Lonchura striata: one gene and its partners. The protein of the gene in region 3 purifies or fractionates together with the protein of the main gene of each other region. This does not show direct contact. Links are inferred from orthologs where the notes say so. Each region holds a gene or a part of one and is shown on either strand. Other genes may lie near its edges. The genes, in order: DCAF6, BRWD3, CUL4B and GRWD1.

Region 1 (7,531 bases), on a different chromosome or scaffold from region 3:
ACTTATCCGTATAAGATATTTCTCAAATTCCTCAATCTCAGAATAGACACATGCTTTATGAGTTTTGCATCATGCCTACCTTGAGCAACAGGTGGTGTTTCACAAGAGAACCCCAGTGAAAAGCACAATTCTTCCACAAAGCATTTTCCCCATGTTGTATCCCCTTCAGTTTGTGTTGTTACTAAGGCTAATTTTGTTCCTCCCCATATATTAAGAATTAGAGCCTCTTAATCTTTCTGCAGCCTCAAGTATCTGCTGGGAATCTCTTGCTTGCTCAGTGTGTTGCTGCAGGTTGCCCTGGGCTTGACACCCAGACACCAGCTGGCATCTTGTACTTACCCATTTCATGACAGGTGCCCAGAAAAACACTGTTTTGGGACCTGAGGGAGAATGGGAGAAAAGAAGTTAAATTACTTAGTAAGGTGTGGCTGTTTTAATAGCCACAGTAAGTTTGTTTTATTTTAATTGTTGTTTTTTTTTAATAATGAATTGTTTATATTAGAGTTTCTATTGCTGTACAAGCTCTAGCACCTAATACTCATAATTCATCACCTCAGTGCATCAACCTTCAGTTGTATAATCACTCCACACATTTCTGCAACAGTTGGACAGGATTTTTTATATCCATGTTTAAGCAACTGAGGACACTGGAGCAAGCAAAATGCATTTTTAAATTAAAGACTTAGGAAGAGTCCTAGGAATATGGAAAACACCCCAAAAATCTACCAGTAAGCAAAGGAGGATTTGGGGGAAAATGAGGAAATCTCAAGAAGGAAGGGAGGAAAATCCAATGGCATGGGACCTGGGGGAAAAACAACTCTCTTATGAATACTTGTGATTTTCAATGGTGCTAAAACAGCAACTGGTTGGTTAAAACAAAGCCCATGTAAAGCCACGCCTACAACTATGCCAGAAATCATTAATCTGGGACTTCTGCTCCAAGTCTTAAATGAGAGACCACAATTCAAATTACCAACCCCTATGAAACAGTCAGAAATTAACCTTTAGGTCACTGCTCAGCACACTGATAACATGCAAAATGAAGCCAAGTTTTCACTATAATATATTACATAGGAGTAACCACCAGGACTTTGGTTCCTGCTTTTTATGAGAGCTATTTCTTTCACTAATAATTCAGCCTTAAAAAGACCTTGCACTAACTACTTGTACTTCCAGTTTTAACCATCCTCAAGTTTAAAACTATGAATTGGGAAACAAAAACTGGCTTGGCAGCCTTGCATAAAGCCCTTTTTAACCCACCCAGCTTGTGATCAAGTTTCAAACTCCATTTAATAACTACAAGCACACTACTTTTTGTCTAATATTGTTGAATATTAGATAACAGCAGCTTAATGTTCATCCTTTAAAGATATAAACTTCAGCTGCTGTTCTCTTAGGCACTTACTTGGTGTGTCAGTATCAGGCTGCAAATACAGCTTGTTATAAATAAATCAGTCTTACAGAGTAGCTTTAATTACTAACATTTATCTTATTCTAAAAAGCAAATTCAGATTTGGAGTACCAGAGGATGTGGGATGAGTATAAATTATTAAACTGACATTCCCTAAACAGCTAGTATAGTTTTCAAGAAGACTGACATTAATTTTTATTAATAATAGAAAACTCAACCATTTCAAATTGATGACTGCAGAAATAAGAATTGGAGAGGGGGAAGGTACCAAACCAAGTTTGTAATTAGGGAAGACTGTTAAACACCTCTCCTTGGAGCACTCCAGCAAGCACCCAGCCTGGGTGAACTCTTCCCAGCTCCTGACATCCAGAATTTTTCAAGGATGAATACAACAGCAGCACATGAGAGCAGGGGAACACCAGAGGCTAATTTAGGTATCACATACATGACCAGTTTTATAGAATTTATGACTTCTATTAAACGTAAGAAGTCTTTGTGCTGAAAACTTGAGTTTAGTCAGGCAAAGTGAACCAGAGCAGCCAAAGGGGAGGGAGCACAAGCTCAGCCCTTGCTTTCCCATGGCAACCTGGGGAGTTGGTGTGCCAGGCCCTCCACTGTCCTCCAACAATGCCAGCCAAAGAAACAGTTTTTAACAGGCACCAATTCTTTTGCTGGAAGCTTTCTTTATGCCAGAAAGTGCTTCATGCCTCACAGGTGATTTATAATTTCATGACAATGACGCTTATATTCCTGAATTAGACTAGAGATTAAGATGTCACTGGAGATAAAAGAAAGTCTTTCATTTTTAACCCACTTTTTTTCCTGCAGAGTGACATCTATTGCATAACTTTCTCAAAGACACACCTTCAAGGCTAAAATAGAAGTTGCAGGGGTTCAGTTTCTATACTTGCTTGTGCTGTGACTTTTCTCACTTACACCATCAGTATGGATTATGACAGGTATATAACATATATATACACAAAGAATCCCTAAAAATGGATTTATTACTGACAACATTATGGTGATGACCAAGAGCGGCCCACAGGCAGTTTTGTGAAGTGAAAAGCACTGCAAGAGAACCTCCAAAACTTTCTCCAATTCCCACTACAGCTCTGTTGAAGAAGGAACATGGATGTTCCCAGCACTTGCTGTGCCTTGCATCCACTAAGAGTATCTGGAAGCTGTCACATTTCACACCAGTGGAATGTGTCTCTCAGTGTTGGACATACTGTCTCTTTATGTATAAAAGCAATACGCTAATGTTAAATATATTGGTCTAGTGAATTCAGTATAAATCAAACATTTTGAGGACTGCACTCTTCATCCTTTGTGATTCCTTTAGAACAACGATTTTCCTTCCAAGAAAGGGCCGTTGTAAGAGGATAGAGCAAGTGACTGCAAACCAAAGTCCATTTTCACAGTGCATATTCCTGGTAGGTGAAGAGTCAAGGATGCCTGTGACACTGACAGGAAACAGTGGGGACAGAGCCTATGGAATGCCAGGATTTTATCGGGCGCTCGTTTTAACAACCGACGCAATTTGTTTACATGACAAACACCACGTAGATGGCACTGAACGAGATCCTTTTACAGGAGGTTTCTCCCTAATAACACAACCCCCCACGTTTGCCCATGGAAAGGTAAACTGCAGGTCAGGTGAGGGGAGCTCATTCTTTACCCGCAGGAGTCCTCCAGCGAATTCACCAAAGGCATGAGCTGTCTTTGGTAGAAGCGTGGGATTCAGCAGAAAGGAAATAAAACCAAAGGCTGCCTGACTTGACCAGGGCACAGTTCAAGATCAGAAACCCTGGAAGTGCCCAAGGCCAGGCTGGATGGGGCTCTGAGTAGCCTGCTCTGGTGGAAGGTGCCCCTGCCCGTAGCAGCGGGTGGAACGGGATGATCTTTAATATCCCTTCCATCCCAAACCATTCCAGGATTCTATGATTTTTCCAGCACATCCTCTTGCAAGAAGCGGTTCCCGAGGCATCCAGGCCCCTTTAGACCCACGACATCCCCTGGGCCAGGCTCTGGCAGCCCAGGCGCTCCCTGGATCCGCCCCGCGGTACCGCGACAGTGACAGCAGCGCATCCATCCCGGAACCAGCCGTGCCGTGCCCGATTATCCTGCTCTCCCTTCAGGAGCAGTCAATTCCCCGTTACGGAGCAGGACTCCGCTCCAGGGCCGCCCTCCCGCGCCAGAAGCACCCGAACCGCGTTACTGCGGCCCCGCCCGTACGGAACACATCCCCCGCGCCACCATCCCCGCCGGTCCAACCGGGGGCCAAGGTGACCCGCGCCCATTACCCGCGGGGTGGTTGTAGAAGGGCCGGAACCGCGGCGGCAGCATGAGCTCGATGCGGTCCAGCAGGCGGTGGTAGGAAGCGCGGAGCCCCGCGACTGCGGCCGCCATGGCGAGGGACGGGGCGAGCGGGGTCCGAGTGGGGAGAGAGGGGCGAGCGGGCACCGAGCGGGGGCCGCGTCCCGTCCGTCCGTCCGTCCGTCCGTCCTCCGCCCGGGCCCCGCCCCCCGGGCCTGCCCGCCCGGCACTGCGCCCTGATTGGTCACCGCCGCAGGGGGCGGGGCGGGGCGGAGAGCTGCGCGCGCTGTTATTGGCTGAGCGCGCTGGGCCGGGCAGCTGGGGAGAGCTGGCGCGCCCGCCGCCCTCGGGAAGGGCACAGGCGCCCGGCTCAGAGATGGCGGCCGCTGCTTCGCTCTCCCCTCAAGATGGCCGCCGCGGGAGAACCCTGCGCTGCGAGTAATGCGCCCTAAGCCAAGATGGCCGCTTTGCGGCTTCACAGCGCTTCACTGGACGGGGCGGGTTTATTCCCGGCGGAGCCGAGCGCCCTGACGTCACCCTCCACGCCCACGACGCGCCCTCCCCTCAGTCGGGGCGGGGCGACGTCACCGGCTCGCGCGAGACGCCCATTAATCTCGGGCCTCCGTGCCCCCTCCCCGGCGGGCGTGGCCCACCGCGGCCGGGGTGGGCGTGGCCCCCGCGCGCGGTGGGCGTGTCCCGGAGCCGCCGCGCCCCTGGCTCGCGGTCGGTGCCTCGGCGCGAGGCGGGCGCGGGGCGCGCGCGCGGGGCCCGCTCGGCGGTTCCCATGGTGATCGCGCGCGCCCGGCCGGTCCCGGCGCACCCCCCCGGCTCGGCGCGCGCCCTTCCCGCCCGCGCGGGGCCATGTCCCGCGGGCGCTGCCCGCACCTGCTGTGGGACGTGCGGAAGCGGACCCTGGGGCTGGAGGAGCCGGGACTGCTGCGCAGGCACTACCTCGGTAAGGACCCGCGCTCGGCGGGGCGGGCGAGCTCCGGCCGTCCCGGGCGCCCACCGAGCGGGCAGGGGGCCCGGAGCCCCTTCCAGGCGCCGCCGCTCCCCCGCTCGGCCGCGCTGTCCCGCAGCTCCGAAGTTTCCTGTGCCGCGTGTGGGGCGGCGACACCTCCAAATCCACCCTCCGCGACCTCAGGGGCGGTCCGGGACACCCCGGCCCCATCCCTCCGCGCTGCCCGGGTGGCCTGGGGCCCGCCGGGACCCCCCGGTCCCTCGGTGCGCGGCTCCGCTCGCCCGCCGCGCCTGTTTCCCGAAGGAACTGTTGCACGCGGAGATCCAGCCGGGAAGTTGGGCGGCGGCTCAAAGCAGCTCCGGCGTCGGGCGTTCCGTGCCCGGGGCCGGGCAGGGTCCGGATTTACCGGCGCTGAGCTGCCGGCGGCTGGGAACAAAGCACGTAGACGCCTCCGGGGTGATGGCGCGGCCGCTGTCCGGCGGCCCGAGGTGTTGCCGGGCTCCGGGAGAAGCCGAGCCGCCGCCGGCGCTCGGCGCGGCCATCCCCCGCGCCCTGGTGTCCCCGAGCGCTCCGCGGGGTCCCCGCCGGCGGCGCGGCCCCGGCTGCCCCCGCGCCCGAGCCAGGCATTTGCACTTCCCAAGTTACAGCCAGCGCCACTTTTCCTCCCCGAGGCCGCGCTCGGCGTGAAGGAACTATCGATGTTTTTTGTCATGGCGCAGGTTTTGTCTAAACACGCTGCCAAAAAGTATTTTTAAACGCCGGTGTTTATTTCACGTGTTGTCGGAGGTGTGGCGATCCATCGTAGCGGCGCTGGGGATCTGGGGGTTGTCTCTCCGGGGTAGATGGCTGGGTGGGTCGGGAACGCGTTCTTTTGTGCTCGTGTGCCAAAACAATTCTTGCCTTGGAGTGGAAACCTCGAGTACTCGAGATGGAGCTTGATTTACAGCGTTGTAAAACGAGTGTCGATCCGTGTCTCCCAGGCTTTCCCGGCTGTGCTCGGTGGTGATGGTCTGTCGTTTGGGTTTTTCCTGGTGGAATTTAAGGTGGGATATCACATTACTGAGCCTAACTCAAGAGTTTTCTGCCTGTAGTCCCTGAGCGCTCAGTAATCCACAAAACGTTAATCGAGGAAATCAAGGTTATTGCTGTAGGTTTCTACCGATTGCAGAGAGGGGGGTGTGTCGGTGTGTGCCGTGCACAAGTCCCTTGGAAAGAAATTTTGAGTCCTAAAATAAAAAAATTGATTGAGAACTAACGATCTAGCTGCTTTTGATTTTGTTTAGTCTCAAGCTGTGCTTGGCCAAGCCTTAGCCGAGGATTGTTATAACTTTTAGTGATCAATCCTTCTGACTGGATTTTTTTTTTTTTACTTTTTGTCTGCTCCAGTTGGAGCAGAAAACCTCAATGTTAAAATGAGGACTGTAGTGTGCAGATTCTGAAGAAGTGCCTTTTTTTTTTTTTTTGGAAGAAGACCTTTGTTGGTTTTTTTCTTCAGCTTTTACATGGTTGTGTCTCTGAGAGTTGAAGTACTAAGATTCGAATAGTAGAAATCATCTTCCCAGACTTCCAAGATGTCTTTTCTGGATGCTACTCCAATAAAATGTTTCTAACTTTAGTTAAAACTATGGTGCCTTGGTTAAGGTCTCATATTTACTATTCTTCCTTTCACCTAAACAAGTTCAGTTGCTTGAGAGCCTTGAAAAAATAGGACCTGGGAGAGCCTTCCCACGGAATTGAAGTTGAGATCTGCATTGGTGGTGACAAGACATGCTCAGTCCGTACTGACTCCTGCTTTTCACCAGGGGGTTGGTACAGGGTGTGCTTGTCTTGTGGAACCACTGCACTTTTACCCAAATGGCGTTTATGGCCTTGATAAACCCACTGATTTGACTGCTAGTCAGGTGTGGTTGTTCAAGTGCAGATTTCCTAGAGAAGAGGCCTGTTGTGCCTTTTTGTGTGCAGGGCAGTGTAGGTGTAGGTCTTTTCTCTTTCAGACTTCAGCAGCTCTGTGTACGAGCTTTGTTCTCTGGCCCACTGGTCAAGACTGCCCTGGTCAGCTGGGTGCAAGTGCTTATTGGTCACTGCTGGTCTGATCTGCGTGGGAAGTAAGGCTTCTTCCTATTTATAATTTCTTTTTTTCAGTAGTGTTTCAACAGTCTGGCAGGCAGAACAAATGGAGGGCAGGAATTTCACTGTAACTTAGGAGTAGTGGGAGACTTGAGGCATTGTCCATGTGCATTTTTTTTTTTATTTGAGCAAATCTGTCTAAACAGTTATGGATTCAGGTACAAAATGAAGTAATTTATATGTCTCTTCTTTGCTTGCTGCACTTTTTCAGCCACCAAATGAAAGGAAAAGCATTACAGCAAGTTCATGACTAACAATGCAATTGGGAGGAAGATGTCTGTGTGGATGGTAGTTAATGAGCCCTTCACTGGGATGGTTGTGTTGTGCTACAGTGTAAAATATCAGAAATATCGACAGTGACCATGTTTTGAAGAAAGACATCTGAGAACTAATTGCTGTTTCCTATTTACTCGGTGTTTTAGTTTCATGTGAATTGGCAATCAAGTGGCACTCTATAAATAGCCTCTCTCAGCTTCTGAAAACAGCTGCTCCAGGAAGGGTCTGTGTAATGTACCTTTCCATGCAGATAGCTCACCCGTGGAATTTATGGCCTTGCGGAAACTCTCTCTGATTTTGCAAGATCTCTAAATAATTGCTTTGAAGTCCAGTCAGTTCTGGACAGAGTTTCAGAGAAACGACTCATGAAGATGGGGCTGTAGGTGCATCTGTGGGATGTATCCTTCAGCTGTTATGCTTTGGTGAGAACTCCTGCTGTG
Region 2 (7,622 bases), about 4.2 Mb from region 3:
CCTGCCTGACCAGAGTAGCTGCACCACCCAGCTGAGATTGTAAACGATTTTGGGTTTCTGGCTGTAAAAAGTAGAAAAGGATAGAAAAAACCCGTTTACCTCCAACTGCTGGCACCTCCAATTTAATTTGGGTTCATTATGTGCCTGAGATAATTAAAATGAAGGTTGGAGTGCTTTGTGTCCTTCACAACCCTGGTTCTGTTCTGATCATTGCATTCAGACATCCAGCCAGCCCTGAAGTCGAGGGGCTCAGGTTAATAAACAATCATATGCAGCCAAAAGTCCAAATTCCAAACACAGCAAACCCTAAGCAATGAGGGAGAAAAAGCCTTTCTTCAACATCCTTAACATTCTGAGGATTCACAGACAGAAACTCAGCTCATCCCACCTGGCATCAACCTGCCCCACTGTAAGGATTCATTTATAATCCTGGTCCTTACTGTAAACCATGAGAAAAAGTTAAATAATATTATATAAAAGGGCAAACTAAAAGCATCGATTAGTGCTGATTAGTTTAAGACAAAAAAAATCTTAAATTTAATTACGATATTAGTTTATACAGAAATAAGAAATTTCCCATTAACTCCAAAACTCACTTCAAAACGGTTTTTCTCCAGTTTCTGAAATGTTAAAGAAAAGTACGTTTCAACATGTTCAAACACACATTTAAAAAAAGATTTTAAGGTTTCAAGGCTTTTATATCTGTGCCACAGAGAATAAATAGAAAAAAAGTGTATGTTAATCAAAGTGATAGGCAAAACCACTCTGACACCAGACCTCATAGTGGCACTGCTAATATTCCTCCTGGATATTGGGTGTAGTCCCACGTTAAACCTGAGACAGCCCAGTTAGATTTCAGATTCTCAAGAAGACCACAGAGCACCAAAATTTATTGACTGCAGAACTTTATGTCTGTTCACTCAATTTACAGTGCCAGAATTATCCACCAGAGGTATGAGGAAGCCCGGCTTCCACCTGAAATTCTGAACAGGCTTTAGAAAGGGAAAGGCAGCGGCACCAAAGGTCTCCTCTGGGCACAAGGAGTTCTGTCCACACCTGAGCTCCTACAATGTTGCTAAAGTGGAGACAGATGCAGAGGAGTTTGAGCAAGAGTCACGGCAAAATCCCACGTCACTGTTGCTCCACGGAGCCGGGAGAGGCCAGGACGTGCTTCCCATTCCTTCCAGGTGAGCTGCCAGCGCTGGGCACAGGTATCAGCGCCACAAGCGCTGTGGGGAAGTTTACAGCCTTCCAACTGCAGAGTGCTACATCAGCGCCACACGTCATTGCCCACAGCTCCCAGAAATGAAATCAAGGCCGCCTGGGCCCTTTGGAAAAGGACTGGAAGGGCTTTAATGTTGTCGCTTTCACAGACACGTCCCGGGGGGCGCGGGGCCAAGGGCCACCTCCCACCGCCGGCCTTGCGGAGGGACTGACCTTCCTCAATGACACACATTCATGGGGTTTCGCACCCAGCAACAGCAGCCACCCCGTGCATTTCACGGGCATTTAACAGCCACAACACCACACTTCCTAACCCCTCCTTTCCTGCCTGACAGCAGGCCCAGACACCGCGGAGAGGGGCGGGTTTCGCGCAGGCCGCCGCAGGCCGGGAATCCCTGACCCAGCCCGGCAGCGCCGGGCCCGGCGGCACGTCCGGCACGTCCCCCCCGCCGGGCTGCGGGAGAGCGGCCGAGCCCGGCCCGCAGCGGGGCAGCCCCGGGGCCGGCGGCGATGGAGCGGCGGAGCCGGGGGGACCCGCGCCCCGCGCCCCCCGCCCCGCCGGCTCCGCCGCGGCGCCGCCGCAGCCAATCAGCTGCCGCCTCACATCGCCGCGCACCGCTCTCCGCGTTGTAAGGCGCGGCGCCATTGGCCGCGCCGGGCCCCGGTGCGTGCCCTCGGATAACCCCCGGCCCCACAATAGCGCGGCGCGGCCGCTCCGCCGGTGCCACCGGGCGGCTCACGGGGGTCTCGCCGGCGGCCCCCGGCCCCGCCGCGCCTCCGCTCCCTGCCCTGCCCTCCGCTCCGCACTCCGCGGCCCGCCGCGGCCTCGGCGGGGCGCAGCCCGCCGCGCTTATGGGGGGGGGACACACAAACGGGGCGGAGGGGGGGACGCGGCGCCCGGTGCGGCGGCGGCGGCGCGGGGGGCGGAGGGAAGTTGTCGGAAAAGTCAGGAGTGAAACTTGTCTCACCAGGTCCTCGAAGCTCCGGCGGTGCTCCTTGCCCTGCCAGTCCAGGCGCCGCGGGATGAGCTGCGGAAGGGACACGGGGACGGGGGCGGCCGTCAGAGCCCGAGCGACCCCTCCCTGGGCAGCGCCCCCGGTGCCCGCCCGCGCCCCCCGGGATGGAGCCCCCCCGGCCGCTGGCCCCGGCCGCGCCGCGGGGCAGCCGCGCTCCCGCCGGGTGTCCCGGGCGGAGATGGGCTGGGTTAGACGGGGCAGGGCAAACGCCGACCCCGCCGTCCCGAGGGCTTCCCCCGTCCCGCCGGGGCAGGCGCCTCACCTGGTGCTCCTCCAGCTCCTCTACCAGTACCTGGGGACAGAGGGACACACAGACACACAGACACACACAAAGGACGTGAGTCCGGCGGCCGCAGCGCAGCGGCTCCGCCGCCCCGTCCCGTCCCGTCCCGTCCCGTCCCGTCCCGTCCCGTCGCCGCCCGCCCGGCCCGGCCGGAGCGCCGGCTCCGCGCTCACCTGGGCGGATTTCTTGCAGGGTCCGGACTGCAGGAACCGTGCGATCAGGTAGTAGAGCTCTGCGGAGAGGCGGGAGAGAGCGGGTTAGACACGGTAAGAACGGAGGGGGTGCGGAGCGCAGCCCCCGCCGCCAGCGATACCCACCGGCTTCCAGCTGGGTCGGGGCGGCCGCCGCCGCCATCCTCCTCGGGAGGGGGAGGGGAGGTGGCGGATGGCGCCCCGGGGGGACTCGGCTCCTAGTGCGGGCGCAGCCCCATGCCGGAGCGGCGGTGCCGGTGCGGGGCGCGGGTCCCGGTGCGGGTGCGGGCGCGGGTCCCGCCCGGGCTCATCGCGGCTCCGCGGACCGAGCGCCGCCGGCACCGCCCGCACCGCCGCCGCCCGCCGCCGGGGGGCGCGCGCGGCAGCGGCGGGCGGGCGGGGGGGCGCAGGAAGGGCGGGGCGGGCACGCGCCGCGGGGGGGCGCGCGCCACTTCCGGGCGGCGGCTGAGGGAGGAGGAGGAAGGGGAGGAGGAGGAAGGGCCGGGCCGCCGGGCCGCGATCTCCCCGGGCGTTCGGCCGCCGTCACGGGGCAGCGCTGCGCCGGGCCGTGCTTCGGAGGGCCCGGTAGGCGTCACGGGGGAGCGCTAACGGCTCTGGCCTCGCGGCTTCGGCGCTCCCCGGGTGTCCCTGCCTCAGCCCTCACGGCTCCGGCCCTCACGGCCGCAGTGTGCTCGGCTCAGTGCTCCTGGCCTCCTGCCTGGAAGCTCCTGGGAAGTGGAGCCCCGTGTGTGCCGCTAGTGAAGCAGTTTTTAAGAGGATGAAGGGATTCAGGAACCTTAGGGGTCCTGGCAAGGGGAGGGGGATGGAGCCCGGGCTGCGCGGTGGGGAAGGGACAGCCCTTCCGGGCTCCCGGTAAACAAGGCCTGGCTGCAGGGAAGTGTCTCAGGTTGGGGTGACCTTAGGAGTTAAATAAAAGTGTTTGCTCCCAGTGGCCAGGAAATTCCGATATGATGGATGCAGCACCTGTTCTCTCCAAGGAACAAAGGGGTCAGGGTTAGAGTAGATCGTCCTAATGGAAATAAATATTTTTCCATGGGATGCGTCCCGTCACAGCTTCTGAAATCGGTGTCACTTCAGCGAGGAGTTGCTAAAACACATCAAGTGATTGTATTTTATCTAAAGTACGTGACATTTGGTGTTAGAACTCCAGTGTAAAAGCCACTGTCATTGTGGAATAGCCAAGGACAGCCTCTCCTCATGCCTGGAATACCGAGAGCTGAATCACTGTGAGTCAATGCTCTGGTAATATTAAGAATAAATTTAGTTTAAGCGCAGCTGCTCAGGACTGGGTTTGCTGTGGAGCAGTGGCTCAGAGTTTTGCTGTGCAGTCAGGATGCAGTCCTTCCTTCTGGCAGCTCCACAGAATGCCTTCAGGCACCCAGCCAATCTGGGGAGAAGGATTTGGGGATTTGGCATTAGGCTGCTCCACATAATTCGCCTGTATTCACCTGTCCCTTCATCCACCTGTGGAAGGTGTTTTGTGCCAGGAGCTTGGATTAACTGGCTGATGAGTGGACCCTGATTCCTCCTCGTCATCCTCTAAAGTTCTTGAGTTCTCGGTGACTGTTGATAGGATCACAGAATGGTTTGATGGAAGGAACCTTAAAGTTCATCCAGTCCCACCCCCTGCCATGGCAGGGACACCTTCTGCTACCCCACGCTGCTCCAAGCCCCGTCCAGCCTGGCCTTGGGCACTTCCAGGGATGCAGGGGCAGCCACAGCTTCTCTGGGCATCTGTGCCAAGGCCTCCCTACCTTCACAATAAAAAATTCTTCCAAATACCCCCCCTAACCTTGTCCTCTGGCAGTGGGAAGCCATTTCCCCTTGTCCCAAGTCCCTTTCCACTTTTCTGGTAGGCTCCAAACAATTACTCTTGGAATGTTTTCAGGGCCGGTTCATGGCTCAGCGCATAAGTGGACAGACAAGAGGTGCCACCTCACCAAGCTGCAAATTCCAGTGGCTTTCCAGTAGTAACAGCTCTCCCAGCTTCCCAGCAGAACCCCAGAGGCTCCAAAGCTGCAGAGCTTCCCAGGAGAGGGTGAAACTGCTGTTCCCAGAATGAGCTCCCAGCCAGGAGAAGCACACACTGATCCCACTCTCCGGAGGAGAATGTTTCTCCCACCTGCCTTCAGAGCCCAGAACTGCAAGCTCATCTTTTCATGCGTGATGGGAAGGCAAAGGAGAAAACACGGATGATGTTTCATAATATGCCTTGAAAGTACAAATTCATCATCCTGAGCTGATCAGAATTCCACGTCAAGGGAAAATCAGCCCCATAAATACTGGCCAGCACCATGTCCTGGTGCATTTCAGTGCCAACAGCTCCACATGCGTGCTTGGGTGAGACCCCCACCTGCAGAGCTGCCTCCAGCCCTGCACAGGAAGGACCTGGAGTTGTTGGAGCAAATGCAGTGGAGGCACCGAGATGGTCAGAGGGCTAGTGCAGCTCTGCTGCGAGGAGAGGCTGGGAGAATTGGGATTGTTCAGCCTGGAGAAGAGAAACTCCAGAGTGACCTAACTGTGGCCTTCCAGTGCCTGAGGGGACCCCACAGGGAAGATGGAGAGAGACCACATGGGCCTGGAGTGCCAGGACAAGAGGAAATGGCTTCCCACTGCCAGAGGGCAGGGTTAGATGGGATGTTGGGAAGGAATTGTGCCCTGTGACGGTGTAGAGGCCCTGACACAGAGCGCCCAGAGAAGCTGTGGCTGCCCCATCCATGCAAGTGTCCAAGGCTGGGTTGCATGGGACTTAGAGCAACCTGGGATAGTGGAAGGTGTCCCTGTCCATGGCAGGGGTGGGGGTGGATGGGCTTTAATGCCTCTTCCAACCCAAACCATTCTGGGATTCCGTGATTCTGTATTTTTTTAGGAATGTGGCATTTCCTTGGCACCTTTTGGTGCCTTACTGAATCTCTCCACTCATGATATGCTTTTATTTGAGCTTGGGGGTGGTACAGGAGAAGCTGCAGCACCACCAGGCAGGATTGTTCTGTTTGGACCTGTCTAGAGCCCATGGGAATTTCTGCAGTAACTAAAAGGAGCTTTCAAAAGCCTGGGATAAAAAATGCTCCCAAAGTAAGCTTGTGTCCTTCCTGCAGCATTCCAGCTGGGAGCCTGGCTGCTCCTTGCTTGGTGCTCAGTCCACAGCCTCGGGTCAGTGCTCAGCCAGTGTTGCTCCACATCGTGGCTCGGATGGATTCTTGCATCAGCAGGAGGGGAGAGTGTTGGGAATGGCCCCGGTGTGTCCCGTGTGTGCTGCAGGGCACTGCTGTGCAGGAACCTGCACAGGGGCAGGTACAGCCAGCATTCCTCATTCCCAAACAGTTCACAGGGAGCTTCCCTCGGCCTGGCTGTGGCTGGACAGTGCTGCTGTGCAGTCACTCCCGAGCCTCTTCCCAGCATTCCTGACTCCTTGGCACATCAGCTTCCTCTCCTTAGCGCTCTCCCAGTTGCCTCATTACTCCCCAAGCCTGCTACACGGGCTGTTATCAATACCTCTTCCCACCTCTCCTGGGTTTTCCCCTCCAGGAATCATGTCTGGTGAGTAATGCCCATCCTCTCTTTCCCCAGGAGCTCCATTTCCACACCACACGTGGATTCTGCAGCTCCATGACTCATCCTTTTCCAGATCCTCTGCATCCAAGCAGCAGCATGCTGGGGGTGATAGTAAATCTTGGAGTGAAAGCAGGATTTTATGGATGTGCTGATTCATCTTTCCTCAGAGCAGAGCTCTGTTATGTAAATGCCAGCAGCAGCTGGTGGCAGGAGGAGGGAGAACAGACTAATGAGCCACAGAAGGATTCGGGAGCAGAGATGCTTTAAGGAAGAAGCTGGATTGTAGCTGTTTCTTTCCATACTGCTCTTTAAATAAATAAAAAACTGAAAGTTTTTGAGGAATTTTAGGAGTAGGTACTGATGACATTGAAATACCCATTGCTTCTCCCCATTTGGTGTTTTAGGGAGTTTTGCTCTTAGTTGCAGTTAAAAGTAAAATTCAACCCCTGCTTAATTTTACTACAAAATTAAGCGAACTTTCCCACAATCAGCTTGTAAAACCAGGTAAAGGTGGTTTTATTTTATTTATTATTATTCTGCCCTCATGAGTCAAATCCTGTTTTAACCATGTGTGAAAACAGAACTGTGGTTTAGCATAACCAGAAATGTACAGTTAAAATTAAAAAAAAAAGAAAATTTAGACTGGAATTGTGTATGTGTGGTAGATTTACATGCATTGTACCTTTCTAGTAAATGTAGATAAGGATGCACATGCCTGAATCCAGCTGAATTTGAACGCTGGAACAAATGATACATTTTAGTATTTTTTTTTTAATATATATTTTCTGTGTACATTTCATAGAACACCCCTGAGTTGGAAGCAACCCACAAGGATTTTTATGAACATTCTGCTCATCTTGGGCCTTTTATATGGAGCTAAATGGATAGTAGTTAAATCCAAATTTTGTTTAGCTGATTCAAAAATAAGAGCTGTTCAGAAGGAATTCAGGAGTTGGTGCCTTGTGCTACACAGTTATGAGTAAATGAATATTGAAATGTCCAAGCTTAAGACCTTTACATAGAGAAACCTCAAATTTTGATATCATAGTTTATTTTTAAAAATAAATGAGATGCAAAGTAATTAGTACTAATTACAGTTGCTGGAGTGCAGGGCTCGTGTGTGCAAACCAACATCCTCTTTTTGCCGGACAAACCTCCAAGTTCCCACTCCTTCCCGTGGTTCTCTTCCTCGACAAGAGCTGATAAATATTATCTAAATAGCTGTTAGATATTACACAAGATCTGCTCCAGGTTTTTTGCTATTTTTAATAATTTAATATTTATTTCTCTGCTGCATCATTCCAGTCATTCCTCTAGATGGTGCCAGACATC
Region 3 (7,814 bases):
TTGTAACTACCCAAAGTGACCATTTTTGTTCTAATAAGGACATTCCTAAATGGAGAAGACAGAAGAAGAAAGTCTGAGAAGGAAGATGACATATGCACATCCATGCTACCAACAGGTGAAACTGGCCCAGAGTTTATACTCTATTAAAATTGACTTTTACACACCTACAAGTAAAAAACAAATTTTAAAACTTTACGAATTCCATAGAAATAATTAAAAGAGAGAAGTAATTATTTTGTTCTTCCAAGCATTTTTGTACAATACTGGCAATATCCCAAACATTAGCTGCCTGATCTGGATCTAGAGACAACTAACCATGGACTTGCCTATTTTCACTAACAACTCCTGACTATGCTCTGAGCAATCAACACCAAGGTTATGGATTTTACGAAGTTATTTAAGTTGTAAAGGATGTCATTGTTATCACACTAAGAGAAGGCAAATATCTTAATAATGTTATTCAGTTTAGCATCTGAGATAAATAAAAAGCAAAGCTGTCAGAATACCAAAACATCCTTTTTAAGCAAGTGGTTCAAATACCCATTCAGAAGCAATGATCACAGTACCATGCAATCCGTGACATTTAACAGGTATTTTAAAAGTGAGAAGTTAACTTCCCTTAAAGATTACAGTGCACAAGGAACTGAAGAGCAGCCTATAATGCATCATAGCTTGGTATTTTAAAATAATCAGTCAAATTAAATTATGATGCTTTGATGGGTGGAGAACATTTTTGAGAATTGGAACCTTAAAGCAAAGAGTTACAGTGTGATCATGAATTCCTGCAAAACCATTACTAATCCTTACCTAATGCAACATGTCTACAGAAGATTTGTGTCAATTGTGTATTTCAAAATTAATTTTAATTTCGGTAATATCTTTTACCCCTCCACAAACCAAAATGCAAACAAGCCAGGAAAGCAAGGTAGTGGACTATTTTGGAAGCCAGCAAGAAGCAGGAAATAAAAAAAGCTCACGATCGCCTCATCTTCATAGGGAAAAAATGGCAGCATTTTAGCTAAGCTTTCTGCCTACCTATTTGTATTTTTGTTTACTAGAAAATAAAGCAGCATCACATCAGAAAAGTTTAATTTCTCTACTTCACCTTGGTCTCTACTAACACTACTAAAAAATCTCAAATGTGTGTTTGGAAAGAATTTATAAAATAAAGTAAACTTCTAAAGTAAGAGTAAGCTAAGACAGAGGAAAGATACTACAATTAAAAATGACAGCTTTCCATTAAAAGGAAAAAACTGCAAAAATCTGAACTATCTACTTTAAAAGCAAGTGGGGAAACCTGAAAGGAAATCCACCATAATAACCCGATAATCACCTTAGTTTCAACATTTAAAGCTAAGCACATGAAGATTATCCTATAAACAGACAACAAGGATAGAGATAAGACATGCAGATTCAAGGCCAATTAAAAAAACCCCCACATTCTATGCAAAGGCTTATCATAAACTGGGCTAAAATATACACTAAGCTCTGAATCAGAATTACTAGAACAACGGTATCAAATGTTAAAACAAAGGCAATTTAACACTTAGGCAGTAAAACCTTACACCTAACATACAAATGAAGGCCTTCTCAAGAGAAAGAATGGAGTCTGAAAAATAATTCCAAGCAGCAAAGTGTAGCTCAGGATGTGTACATGACCAGGCAAGCACACATCAGAAATCATGATTCCCCTTTACATAAATATGGAAATGTTCAGCACAGAAAAGCAATTCCTGCAAAACCTGGGGCTATTTGGGCTTTCAGGCTGAAAACAAATCGCGAAGTCGAGTGTCAGCTCCCCACAGGTTGTGACAAATTATGGCCTGTTACCTTTAAAGTTCTTGATCACTAATTTCTTGGCAGAGCCAGGTTTACTGTTGGCGAAACTGGAAACAGTAGAGGAGGCAGCTTTGGTCAGGCCATTTGCATGGTGCCCCACAGCCACTGACGAAATTAAAAGGCTTTTATTTTTAAGCTGTTGCTGGTGCTGCTGCTGAGAAGAGGCAGCAGGAGAGGAGGAGGAGGAAGAAGACTCTTCAGCCATCTTCACATCGAGTCCAATAAAATCCACGGAGTCCTCAAAGCGCAGCTTCTTCTGGAGGTGATGGTTGGAGGAAGCAACCCCTGAGGAGGAGCACGAGGAAGTGGTGATGACAGAGGAAGATGATGAGGAGGTGTTTTTGGAAGGAGAAGAGGTGCAGGAGGAAATGGAATCAAATTCTTCTTTTTCGGAATTACTGTTGCTGCTGTTATTTAGCTTTCTCTTCTTGCAGGAGGAGCTGCTGCTAGTGTTACCATCAGTGGCAGGTCTGACCTCCTGGGCTGCAGCTGGGGGGTTGGGGGAAGAGAAACCTGTGGGAAACATGAACACACAGAAGTGAACAGGCTGAGGGGCATCAAATCCTTGTGGTGTGACAAAGAAGAGGGGGAGAGTTTTAGAGTCAGTCTCTGTTTACTGTCTCGGGGGGGGGGTGGGGGGTCTTTCAACTCCTCCTTCTCATCAGTGAAGTCCTTCCGTATTTCTTCTCCTTCGCGTTTTTCTTTATCGGAGGAATCACTTTATCTCCTCTTCCCTTTTCTTTATTACTTTGGTTCTTCCCGTAGTTTGGCGCTGCCTTTCTGCTTTTACTCCTTTCCCAGCGCAGCGTTTCCGTTCCTGCCGCCCACCAGTTCCTTTCGGTTCTCCTCTCCAGCTGCAGAATTCCCCACGGCTGCCCGCTTCCCCGGCTTCTCCTTGCGCTCCCCTCCTGCTCCGGCCGCCTCGTCTCCGCCGAGCAGCAGCGGGGAGGGCTGAGCGCGGCTCCCTCCGGCCTCGGCTCCAGCCCCTGGCCCCACCCGCTCCCGCTCCGCCCGCGGCCGCTCCGCTCGGCCCCGCTCGGCCCCGCTCCCCCCTCTCCGCTGTGCCCGCGCTCGCTGAGGGGGGACGGCCCGGCCGGGTTGTTATTGTCACTGCACGGCAGAGGGAGCGCAAAAATGGCGGCGCATCCGCCCGCCGTGCATGACGGGGCGCGGCGCACGGAAGCGCGGCCGGGAAGCGCTGGGACCGCCCCGGGACCCGCCCCGGGACCCGCCCCGGGATCCGCCCCGAGACCCGCCCCGGGACCCGCCCCGGGACCCGCCCCGGGACCCGCCCCGGGACCCGCCCCGGGACCCGCCCCGGGACCCGCCCCGGGACCCGCCCCGGGACCCGCCTCCGGCCCCGCCGGCGCCCTCGGCCCCGCCGGAACTGATCGTGGCTCGGTGCCCCCCGCGCCGGCCTGGGGCCGCCCCTGGGGCGGGAGTGCGGGACCGGGGAGTGCCGCTCCGGGGCGTTCCGCTCCGGGGCCCGTTCCGGGGGCCCGCCCGGCCTCAGGCGGCCTCACCCGGCCCGGCCCCGCCGCAGGCTCGGCCGCCGTCTGCTCGTTCCGCCGGAGCCTGCGGCCTAGGCCCGGGCCTGTTAGCTAAGCCTGTTAGCTTGGTCTGGAAATGCTTTTTGTTACACTTATTTATAAATAATTTAGCGTCAGCTGTTTGATACGATTTTAATACATACTACTTGCACTGGGCTACAGTCTATGGTTTGCTTTTCTTTTGTTTATTTTGTAACTTTTAGAAACAAGAACAGAAGTCCTGGGCCTTTGGAGTCTCCTTTTTGATGTTGGTGGTTCTGTTGCCAAAGGGACTGTAAACTCCTGAGGAATGTTGTTAGGGTTCAACCACTGCTGAGAAATGGCTGTGGAAAAAGCAACAAGCCAAGTGATGAGGTTTTGTTCCAGGAGATTCTCCACGGCCTTCACCAGAGCATACCTTGTACACCAGGCAGCTCCTCAGGGGAAAATCTAGTGGCACTTTTATGTTGGATAGGAAAACACAGACTTAATTCTCTTGACAGAAACTGGTACATGGAATGTAATGTCACTAAAGCTCTTCTGGAGTATGTTTTATGTCTGAGTCACTGTCAGACAACTCCTGAGGCCTGGAATGTCATGCTAGTGATGTGTAGAAAAGCACTTTTTCCAGTTGAAAAAACGCCAGCAAAACAAAGCTTCAGTCTGGCTTTGACTGGCTTTAGAAGAGATTGTATGGTTCCCAAGGCTACTAAATTGCATTCCAAGTCGGATATAATAGAAAAAAACAGGTTTGCCAAGTAAATAAGTTATGTGAGTATGCTGTAAAATTTTCCTCTGTTCCCCAGTAACTGTCATGTTCACTTAAGCCAAAATAGATAAGAGGTCTAGAGATGTAAGAGATGCCAAATTTCTACACATTCTTGGTTCATTGAAAGGATTTGATTTATAAAAAAGACATGAGTAAGAGTCCCTTTTCCTGAAGTTGCTGTCTATGCAATCATTCAGGGGTGGGACAGTCAATGACTTTGTCCCATCAGTTAGAATATTCAGCTTTTGGATGTGAGAGAGCAGGTGGAGGCAAGGTAAAGTTCTGGGGATCCAGGAAGAAGTATGATGGATTTTCCCCCTTTTCTACCAAAACTTATGGGGAGTGAAATCCTAAGTCCTTTCTATTTAGCACATGATCCTGAGGGGTGGTTTCTGTCAGAACAGTTGCTGGATGTTCCCCCTGCTTTGTCAGTCTTGTCCAGGTACCATGCTTTTAAAATTTTGGTACTTTTAAGTGACTCTGCAACCAGATGAAAGTCTCCAGCTTTTTTGTGTTGAGGCTGAACAGTAACACTGAGAGCTGTGTTAATGAAGTCCAGCCTAGGTCCTTGGAGCCTTCTTCAGAAGTCCTCTGTACAGGCATGTTTAGATTGACTGAGCAGTTACCTACCCCAGCAAAAAGCATTTGGAAGAGAAGGTGGAGAAGTTGAGACCAGACTAAAGGTTAGCTCAGCCTGAAGGGAACCAATGGTCCAACTGCTTGAAGGTAGTAAAAGTGTAGAGGTAAGACCTTCCTCTTGACAAAGGCATTTTTTGAAAATTTGGGCCTAATCTTGCTGTTTTAGGCAGACATGAAACTGGTGGCTCAGGTGACTTCAGTGAGATGTGCTGTGTTTCTCAAGAAGAGTAGAAGTTTACCTTGTGTTTCTATCACTTGAGGTAGAATATGATGAATTTTTCATTACAGTTTTAAAAAATGTGGTTGTTTGCATGGCTAAGTACTATTTGATGAAAGTTTTTCTGAGGATCACCATAACGTATGGAATAGTTTTTCAGTGTGATTAACTCCCATTCTCATTTTCTAATCCTGGGGATGAGCAGTGTCACTGTGGTTCAGTTAAAACTGAATTCTTGATCATCACTCAGTATTTTTGGGGATGCTACAAAGTAGGTGAAGGTGGCATTCATAAGTGAAGTGCTTGACTGTTTATGTAATGCCATAGTTCATTCCTATACTTTCAAAAAGTTATTAGTGTGTTTGTTCCCAAAGCTGTACTGCACTATTTGAATGATACCATGTATAATGCTTGATTTTACTTTGGCAAATATAACTTTTAAGTATTAGGTTTTAATTACCTGTTATAGTATCAAAGGTGATGAAATTGTTTTGTATGGAAAAAAGAAACTCGGTTGTTAGCATAATGATAACCTGATGTTTTATATCCTCTCCTCCCTCTCCTTTATCCTAGTGTTGGCATTTCCATGACACTAAAAAGAAACTGGGTGATCACCTCTATGTCTGTTTATGTAGCAGCCACCAGCCTAAAGAACAAACACAGGTCTGCTCCTCAGAGAGTGAAAAAGCAGTGTGGTAAATTCTGTCTGCTATGGTTTTCTATTCACAATTGCGGCGGCCATCACCAAACAAAACCTAATTTGATTCTGATACACTCCACCAGATCCATCTGTCTGCCTGGCAGCTGAGATCTTCTCTGGAAGCCAGGTTTCTGCTTCCTCCCCACTTTGAAGATGTGGTACTGTCACCTGGGACCGATTCCCTAGCCGGGAACAGTATCTGCTGTTTGACAAGAACTCTATTTTTCCCCCCAGAATACTGTTGATAGTATCTCGTGTCCTACTCTGAAGCTGGCGTGACGATAGCTTCTGCTCTGCTAGTTTGAAGATGGCTGTGTTTTTTTCCAGATAAACGTATTTTGTGTTTAAATAATGCCAGCAGCTAGTAGCACTTTGCTCTTCTTATTTTACCAAAAAGCGATACATTACCTGGGAAACCAGCGCCGTGCCTGTAAGTAGCAGGCGCCGGGCTGCTGTGGGAGGTTAATAACAACGCAGTTGTGCAAGGGGCAGCGGGCGGGCGCGGCCCCGGCGCGGGCGCGGCCCCGGCGCGGGCGCGGCCCCGGTACCGGGGCCGCGCCCGCGCCGGGGCCGCGCCCGCGCCGGGGCCGCGCCGCGCTGCCGGCTGGCCCCGCCCGTTCCGCGGGGATGGAGCGGCGCTTCCGGCGGGCTTGGAGGGAGGGACGGCCCGGCCGGAGCCGCGTGTGAGCAGCGCCCAGGCTGTGGGTGCCCGCCGGCCCCGGCCCGCCCGCCCGCCCGGCGCCCCCCGCCCGCAGGATGTTCAAGAAGTGAGTGCGGCCGGGCTGGGGCCGCGGGAGGCGCGGGGGAAGGGAAGGGAAGGGAAGGGAAGGGAAGGGAAGGGAAGGGAAGGGCAGGGCAGGGCAGGGCCCGGCGCTGCGGTGGACGTGAAGGATTCGCATCGGAACGGGGCTGTGGGTGTTTGTGGTACCAGCAGAGTACTCTCGGAGTTGAATAAAATAGCGCTGTGTGCCGGGCTTAATGTGTGAGACTAAACACGTGCTGTGGCCGTACAAAAAGTTTAGGGATGAAGACAGGCTGCCCCGCCTTCCCCCAGCCCAAGTGTTCCAAGGGGGCAAATTTAAGCTTCATGAAATTTCTGCATTTGAAAGTTGGACAGTCAGTCTGCTATTAGATTTTTATAGTGAATTTATAAGCATTTCTGAAGACAGCTGCTGAAAAATGCATATTTTATGCAGAAAATTATGCATTTCTAAAATGCTTTCATTTGACAGATTTGATGAAAAGGAGAATGTATCAAACTGTATCCAGCTGAAGACTTCAGTTATTAAAGGTATCAAGAATCAACTGATAGACCAGTTTCCTGTTATTGAACCATGGCTAAACCAAATCATGCCAAAGAAAGATCCAGTTAAAATAGTAAGATGGTAAGTATCTCTTCTCTTAAACTTTGCTTTCAAGGTGCTAGGATGGCTTTCTTTGTTTACTTTGTACAGTAGATAAACCTAGCACTTTTGATGGGCATCCATCATCTCTTAATAGATAGTCCGTGTTATGGCCAAACCAGAAAGTTGGCTTGTGCTCATTTTGCTTTAAAGGCACATGCTAGTAGGATGCTTGAGGAACTTAAAAATCTTCCTAGTAGCTAGTGTGCAGTGTATTCAGGGTCTCTCCAAGGACCAGCCTGTTGTTGAAGGGAAGCATTCAGCTTGATGGACATGGAAGCACAAAATTGTTTGGATTCCCGTCAGTAACATTTTGTAGTATTTTCAGGCTTCCATGTATTATCTTGATTATTTTCCCTTTTTTTAAATAGAGGGTGGTACATTTTTGCTGCATCCTTCTCCTTATCCACTCTTTGTATTGCATTCAAAAAGCAATGCCAAGGAAATGCAGTTTGTGTATTTTGTCAGTAGGTTTCTTTTTTCTCAAAGGGGGAAGAAGTGAACAGGAGACCACTGCTGAAGAACAAGTCATATAAAAAGATAATATTTTTAGTTTTAAATTTTGTTGCTAATTGACTGTTTTTATTCTCAGGTGCTAAGATAGACTGGACTTTATAAAGCAAAATCCTGTATTTAAAGTACAGAATGGCTGAGTAGCTCTCAAATTTTTTTTTTTTAATCTTGCAGTCATGAGCATATAGAAATCCTCACTGTCAAT
Region 4 (7,059 bases), on a different chromosome or scaffold from region 3:
TCCCTCCAAAATCCTTCCTCAAATCCCCAAAACCCCACTGAAATTCCCTCCAAAATCCTTCCTCAAAACCCCCCCAAATCCTTCCTCAAAACCCCCCCAAAATCCTCCCTCAAATCCCCCAAAACCTGCCCAAAATCCTCCCTCAAACCCCAAAACCCCACTGAAATTCCCTGCAAAATCCTTCCTCAAAACCCCCAAAACCTCTCTGAAATTCCCCCAAAATCCTCCCTCAAACCCCAAAGCCCCACTGAAATTCCCTCCAAAATCCTTTCTCAAAACCCCCAAAACCTCTCGGAAATTCCCCCAAAATCCTCCCTCAAACCCCAAAACCCCACTGAAATTCCCTCCAAAATCCTCCCTCAAAACCCCCAAAACGTCTCTGAAATTCCCCCAAAATCCTCCCTCAAACCCCCAAACCCCACTGAAATTCCCTCCAAAATCTTTCCTCAAAACCCCCAAAACCTCTCTGAAATTCCCCCAAAATCCTCCCTCAAACCCCAAAGCCCCACTGAAATTCCCTCCAAAATCTTTCCTCAAAACCCCCAAAACCTCTCTGAAATTCCCCCAAAATCCTCCCTCAAACCCCAAAACCCCACTGAAATTCCCTCCAAAATCCTTCCTCAAAACCCCCAAAACCTCTCTGAAATTCCCTCCAAAATCCTTCCTCAAAACCCCCAAAACCTCTCTGAAATTCCCTCCAAAATCCTTCCTCAAAACCCCCCCCAAATCCTTCCTCAAAACCCAAAACCCCACTGAAATTCCCTCCAAAATCCTTCCTCAAAACCCCTCTGAAATTCCCTCCAAGCCCTCCCTCAAAAATCTCCAAAATTCCCCCAAAATCCTCCCTCAAATCCCCCAAAATCCTTCCTCAAACCCCTCTGAAATTCCCTCCAAAATCCTTCCTCAAACCCCCAAAACCTCTCTGAAATTCCCCCAAAATCCTTCCTCAAAACCCCCAAAATCCTCCTTCAAACCTCCCCAAATCTTCCCTTCAAACCCTCCCCGAAACCCCTCCAAAATCCCCCCTCAAAACCCCCCAAAATTCTCCCTCAAACCTCCCCAAACTCCCCCCCAAATCCTCCCCAAAACTCCTCCAAAATTCTCTCCAAGTCCTCCCTCAAACCTCTTCAAGATCCTCCCTCAAACCTCCCCAAACCCCCTCCAAAATCCCCCAAATATCCTCCCTCAAACCTCCCCAAACCCCCTCCAAAATCCCCCAAATATCCTCCCTCAAACCTCCCCAAACCCCCCCAAAATCCCCCAAGATCCTCCCTCAAACCTCCCCAATCCCCCCCAAAATCCCCCAAAAACCTCTCTCAGCATCTCCCGGCTCCCCTCAGCCCCTCCAGCTCCCTCATCCTCACTGGTTTCCCCTCCGGACCCTCCAGCCCCCTCAGGATCCCCCGGATTTTCCTCAGCCCAGTTCCCCTCATCCCCCCGGTTCTCCTCATCCTCTCCAGCCTCCTCATCCCCCGGTTCTCCTCAAGATCCCCCGGTTCTCCTCATCCTCTCCAGCCCCCTCAGGACCACCGGTTTCCCCTCAGGATCCCCTGCTTTCCCTCAGCCCCTTCAGCCCCCGTCAGGATCCCCCAGTTCCCATCAGGATCCCCCAGTTCCCATCAGGATCCCCCAGTTCCCCTCATCCCGGTTCCCTTCAGGATCCCCCAGTTCCCCTCAGGATCCCCCAGTTCCCCTCAGGATCCCCCAGTTCCCCTCAGGATTCCCCAGTTCCCATCAGGATTCCCCAGTTCCCTTCAGGATCCCCCAGTTCTCATCCCCATCCGCTTCCCCTCATCCTGGTTCCCTTCAGGATCCCCCAGTTCTCCTCAGGATCCCCCAGTTCCCCTCAGGATCCCCCAGTTCCCCTCAGGATTCCCCGGTTCCCCTCAGGATCCCCCAGTTCCCCTCAGGATCCCCCAGTTCCCCTCAGGATTCCCCGGTTCCCCTCATCCCCATCCGCTTCCCCTCATCCCGGTTCCCCTCAGGATTCCCTGGTTCCCTTCAGGATCCCCCAGTTCCCCTCAGGATCCCCCAGTTCTCATCCCCATCCGCTTCCCCTCATCCCGGTTCCCGTCAGGATCCCCCAGTTCCCATCAGGATCCCCCAGTTCCCATCAGGATCCCCCAGTTCCCCTCATCCCGGTTCCCTTCAGGATCCCCCAGTTCCCCTCAGGATCCCCCAGTTCCCATCAGGATCCCCCAGTTCTCCTCATCCCGGTTCCCCTCAGGATCCCCCAGTTCCCCTCAGGATCCCCCAGTTCTCCTCAGGATCCCCCAGTTCTCATCCCCATCCGCTTCCCCTCATCCCGGTTCCCCTCAGGATTCCCCGGTTCCCCTCACCCGGTTTCCCCTCAGGACCGCCAGTTCCACTCATTCTCCCGGTTTCCCTCATCTCCCCGATTCCCCTCAGCTCCCTCATCCCCTCCAGCCGCCTCATTCCCCCGGTTTCTCCTCATTCCAGTTCCCTTCATCCGCCCGCTTCCCCTCAGGATCCCCCGCTTCTCCTCATCCTCTCCATCCGCTTCAGGATCCCCCGGTTCCCCTCAGGATCCCCCCGTTCCCCTCAGGATCCCCCGCTTCCCCTCATGCCCCGGTTCCCCTCATCCCCCGCTTCCCCTCATCCCCCCGTTCCCCTCATCCCCCCGTTCCCCTCAGGATCCCCCGCTTCCCCTCATCCCCCGCTTCCCCTCATCCCCCGCTTCCCCTCATCCCCCCGTTCCCCTCATCCCCCCCCAATTCCCCTCATCCCCCCCCAATTCCCCTCATCCCCCGCTTCCCCTCATCCCCCCGTTCCCCTCATCCCCCGCTTCCCCTCAGGATCCCCCGCTTCCCCTCATCCCCCGTTCCCCCCGCCCGCAGCAGGTACCGGTGCCGGCGCGGTGATACATCACGTACGCCTCCTCATCCATCACCAGCTCCTCGTCGGGCCGCAGCGGCGGCCCCTGCCCGGGCACGTACACGCGGCCGGGCCGCTCCGCCTCCGCCCGATCCCGGGCCCGGGCCCGGTCGCGGTTCGCGGCCCTGACGCGATTCGGGGCCCGGGCTCGGGACGCGCCGCGCCGCGCCGCCATCTTGGCCGCGAGGGGAGGCGGCGCTTCCGGCGGGAGCCGCGCCCACTTCCGGGTGATGGGTGGCGGCTTCCGGTCACGTGACAGGCGATGGCGGGCGAGCGCTCCCAGCGAGTCCCAGTAACACCAGTGACACCAGTAACCTCCCCAGTAACCTCCCAGTGAGTCCCAGTAACACCAGTAACCTCCCAGTGACCTCCAAGTGACCTCCCAGTGACACCAGTGACCTCCCAGTGACCTCCCAGTGAGTCCCAGTAACACCAGTGACCTCCCAGTAACACCAGTGACCTCCCAGTGACCTCCCAGTAACACCAGTGACCTCCCAGTGAGTCCCAGTAACACCAGTAACCTCCCCAGTAACCTCCCAGTGACCTCCCAGTGACACCAGTGACCTCCCAGTGACCTCCCAGTGACCCCCCCCAGTGACCCCCAGTAACCCCCAGTGACCTCCCAGTGACCCCCCCCAGTGACCCCCAGTAACCCCCAGTGACCTTCCAGTGACCCCCCCAGTAACACCAGTGACACCAGTAACCCCCAGTAACACCAGTGAGTCCCAGTGACCCCCCAGTAACCTTTCAGTGACTCCCAGTAACACCAGTGACCCCCAGTGACCTCCCACTGACCCCCCCAGTAACCTCCCAGTGACTCCCAGTAACACCAGTGACCTCAAGTGTCCTCCCAGTCCCCCCCAGCCCCATTCCCAGTCCCCCGCAGTCCCCTCCCAGTGCTCCCAGTTCCCTCCCAGTTCCCTCTCAGTCCCTCCCAGTCCCTCCCAGTGCTCCCAGTCCCCCCCAGTCCGTCCCAGTTTGCCCAGTCCGGCTCTGCTCGGTCCCAGCCGTTTATTGGGGGGGGAGGGGCGGCCCCTCCCCCCCCCGCAGCTGCCGCAGCTCCGCCAGCGCCGCGCGGAGGCGCCGCAGGAACAGCCGGGGGTCCTGGGGGCACAGGGGTCAGGGACACCCGAAAATACACCCCAAAACAGCCCGAATACACCCAAAATACAGCCCGGAAACAGCCCAAATACACCCCAAATACAGCCCGAATACACCCAAAATACAGCCCGGAAACAGCCCAAATACAGCCCAAAACAGCCCAAAATACACCCAAAATACAGCCCGGAAACAGCCCAAATACACCCCAAATACAGCCCGAATACACCCAAAATACAGCCCAAAACAGCCCGAATACACCCCAAAATACAGCCCGAAAACAGCCCAAATACACCCCAAAACAGCCCAAAATACACCCAAAAATATAGCCCGAAAACAGCCCAAATACAGCCAAAAAACAGCCCAAAATACACCCAAAAATACAGCCCGAAAACAGCCCAAATACAGCCAAAAAACAGCCCAAAACCAGCTCAAAATACATCCAAAAAACAGCCTGAAAACAGCCCAAAACCAGCCCAAAATACACCCAAAAATATAGCCCAAAACCAGCCCCAAATACACCCAAAAAACAGCCCCAAAACAGCCCAAAATACACCCAAAAAACAGCACCAAACAGCCCAAAACACACCCAAAAAACAGCCCCAAAACAGCCCAAAAACAGCCCAAAAACACCCCAAAATACACCCCAAAACCAGCTCAAAACCACCCAAGAACAGCCCAAACACCCAAAATACACCCAAAGTACACCCAAAATACAGCCCAAATACACCCAAAATACAGCCCAGGAAGGGTGGGGGGAGGTTTTGGGATTTTTGGGGGCAGGATTTGGGTTTTTTTTGTGGGGATGTTTTCGGGTTTTTTTGGGGGGGGTGTTGGGGGAGGTTTTGGGGTTTTTTTGGGGGGTTTGGGGGAGGTTTTGGGGTTTTTTTAGGGGACTTTGGGGGAGGTTTTGGGTTTTTTTGGGGCAGGATTTGCATTTTTGTGGGGGGTGGTTTTTGGGTTTTTTGGGGGGATGTTTTCGGGTTTTTTTGGGGGGGTGTTGGGGGAGGTTTTGGGGTTTTTGGGGATTTTTGGGGGGATGTTTTCAGGTTTTTTTGGGGGGTGCTGGGGAGGTTTTGGGGTTTTGGGGGATTTTTGGGGGGATGTTTTCGGGTTTTTTTGGGGGGGTGTTGGGGGACGTTTTGGGGTTTTTGGGGATTTTTGGGGGGATGTTTTCAGGTTTTTTTGGGGGGTGTTGGGGAGGTTTTGGGGTTTTGGGGGATTTTTGGGGGGATGTTTTTGGGTTTTTTTGGGGGGTGTTGGGGAGGTTTTGGGGGATTTTTGGGGGGATGTTTTCGGGTTTTTTTGGAGGGTGTTGGGGAGGTTTTGGGGATTTTGGGGATTTTTGGGGGGATGTTTTCGGGTTTTTTTGGGGGGTGCTGGGGAGGTTTTGGGGTTTTTGGGGATTTTTGGGGGGATGTTTTCGGGTTTTTTTGGGGGGGTGTTGGGGGAGGTTTTGGGGTTTTTGGGGATTTTTGGGGGGATGTTTTCGGGTTTTTTTGGGGGGTGCTGGGGAGGTTTTGGGGGATTTTTGGGGGGATGTTTTCGGGTTTTTTTGGGGGGTGTTGGGGAGGTTTTGGGGTTTTTGGGGATTTTTGGGGGGATGTTTTCGGGTTTTTTTGGGGGGGTGTTGGGGAGGTTTTGGGGATTTTGGGGATTTTTGGCCAGCCCTCACTCACCGTTTTCGGGGACCCCTCCCTGCAGGAGATGTGGACGAGGACGGGGCCGGCGTCCCCTCCCCCGGTGAAGGAAACCCCGTAACCGTCCTGGTGGGGCTGGGGGGGCCCAGTCAGCACCAGGGACCCCCAGGTCCTCCCAGTCCATCCCAGTTCAACCCAGTTCAACCCAGTTCAACCCAGTTCATCCCAGTTCAACCCAGTAACCCCCAGTTCCATCCCAGTAACCCCCAGTTCCATCCCAGTCCATCCCAGTTCATCCCAGTTCAACCCAGTTCATCCCAGTTCATCCCAGTTCCATCCCAGTTCATCCCAGTTCAACCCAGTAACCCCCAGTTCCATCCCAGTAACCCCCAGTTCCATCCCAGTCCATCCCAGTTCAACCCAGTAACCCCCAGTTCAACCCAGTTCCTCCCAGTTCCCCCCAGTCCCCTCCCAGTTCCCTCCCAGCCCCTCCCAGTCCCCCCCAGTTCCCTCCCAGTCCGTCCCAGTCCCTCCCAGCTTATTCCCAGTCCCTCCCAGTCCGTCCCAGTTCCTCCCAGTTCCCTCCCAGTTCCCCCCCAGTCCCTCCCAATCCCTCCCAGTTCCCCCCCAGTCCCTCCCAATCCCTCCCAGTTCCCCCCCAGTCCCTCCCAATCCCTCCCAGTTCCCTCCCAGTTCCCTCCCAGTTCCCCCCCAGTCCCTCCCAGTTCCCCCCCAGTCCCTCCCAGTCCCTCCCAGTTCCCTCCCAGCCCCTCCCAGTTTATTCCCAGTCCCTCCCAGCCCCTCCCAGTCCCTCCCAGTTTATTCCCAGTTCCCTCCCAATCCCTCCCAGCCCCTCCCAGTCCCTCCCAGTTTATTCCCAGTTCCCTCCCAATCCCTCCCAGCCCCTCCCAGTCCCTCCCAGTTTATTCCCAGCCCCTCCCAGTCCCTCCCAGTCCCTCCCAGTTTATTCCCAGTACACACCGGGTTGAAGCCGCCCCCCGCCGGCCGCAGGGGGAGGGGCAGCAGCGGTGGGTGTGGCCGGGGGGCGGGGCTAAAGGCCAGAGCCCAGGGCTGCCCCAGCACCTGGGGGCGGGGACATGCAAATGAGGCCGGCAGCCACACCCAACGCGCCGGCCAATCGCGGTGACGCTCGTCAGGCCACGCCCTCGGGTGGCAACGCCTCATTGGCCAGATGAAGTCAGGCCACGCCCTCCTTGGACACACCCACCTCATTATAAGGCAATTTTATGCAAGCCACACCCTTCCTGGTTGAGGACACGCCCCCTTTTAAACAAAACCTGCCCCTCATGCCACACCCACTTCCTTATGTGGTAATTAATAACCAAGCCACGCCCACTTCTCTATATGGTAATTTACACACACCCACTTCTTTATATGGTAATTAACACCCAAGCCCCACCCACAT

The links.
Region 1: the proteins of CUL4B (region 3) and DCAF6 purify together in Homo sapiens (affinity purification with mass spectrometry; 6 studies listed by BioGRID and IntAct, with this or other methods). This does not show direct contact. The link is inferred for Lonchura striata from reciprocal best matches to the Homo sapiens genes CUL4B and DCAF6.
Region 2: the proteins of CUL4B (region 3) and BRWD3 purify together in Homo sapiens (affinity purification with mass spectrometry; 3 studies listed by BioGRID and IntAct, with this or other methods). This does not show direct contact. The link is inferred for Lonchura striata from reciprocal best matches to the Homo sapiens genes CUL4B and BRWD3.
Region 4: the proteins of CUL4B (region 3) and GRWD1 purify together in Homo sapiens (co-immunoprecipitation; 4 studies listed by BioGRID and IntAct, with this or other methods). This does not show direct contact. The link is inferred for Lonchura striata from reciprocal best matches to the Homo sapiens genes CUL4B and GRWD1.

Annotation. Positions count from the first base shown.
Region 1 is NC_134604.1:15,140,694-15,148,224, forward strand, and holds the start of DCAF6 (DDB1- and CUL4-associated factor 6), read left to right. Parts: upstream 1-4,521; 5' UTR 4,522-4,588; coding exon 4,589-4,682; intron 4,683-7,531. Other genes in the region: MPC2 (mitochondrial pyruvate carrier 2), read right to left, coding at 340-380, 3,715-3,820. UniProt on the Homo sapiens protein: Ligand-dependent coactivator of nuclear receptors. Enhance transcriptional activity of the nuclear receptors NR3C1 and AR. May function as a substrate receptor for CUL4-DDB1 E3 ubiquitin-protein ligase complex.
Region 2 is NC_134616.1:4,924,625-4,932,246, reverse strand, and holds the start of BRWD3 (bromodomain and WD repeat-containing protein 3), read right to left. Parts: upstream 3,006-7,622; 5' UTR 2,878-3,005; coding exon 2,841-2,877; intron 2,790-2,840; exon of another isoform or gene 2,756-2,789; coding exon 2,697-2,755; intron 2,578-2,696; exon of another isoform or gene 2,533-2,577; coding exon 2,503-2,532; exon of another isoform or gene 2,433-2,502; intron 2,253-2,432; coding exon 2,193-2,252; intron 1-2,192. UniProt on the Homo sapiens protein: Plays a role in the regulation of cell morphology and cytoskeletal organization. Required in the control of cell shape.
Region 3 is NC_134616.1:9,129,916-9,137,729, forward strand, and holds the start of CUL4B (cullin-4B), read right to left. Parts: upstream 3,012-7,814; 5' UTR 2,366-3,011; coding exon 1,831-2,365; intron 1-1,830. Other genes in the region: MCTS1 (malignant T-cell-amplified sequence 1), read left to right, coding at 6,450-6,460, 6,926-7,078, 7,784-7,814.
Region 4 is NC_134640.1:2,324,941-2,331,999, reverse strand, and holds the start of GRWD1 (glutamate-rich WD repeat-containing protein 1), read right to left. Parts: upstream 3,018-7,059; 5' UTR 2,909-3,017; coding exon 2,866-2,908; intron 1-2,865. Other genes in the region: carnitine O-palmitoyltransferase 1, muscle isoform, read right to left, coding at 3,907-3,999, 5,673-5,768, 6,615-6,716. UniProt on the Homo sapiens protein: Histone binding-protein that regulates chromatin dynamics and minichromosome maintenance (MCM) loading at replication origins, possibly by promoting chromatin openness.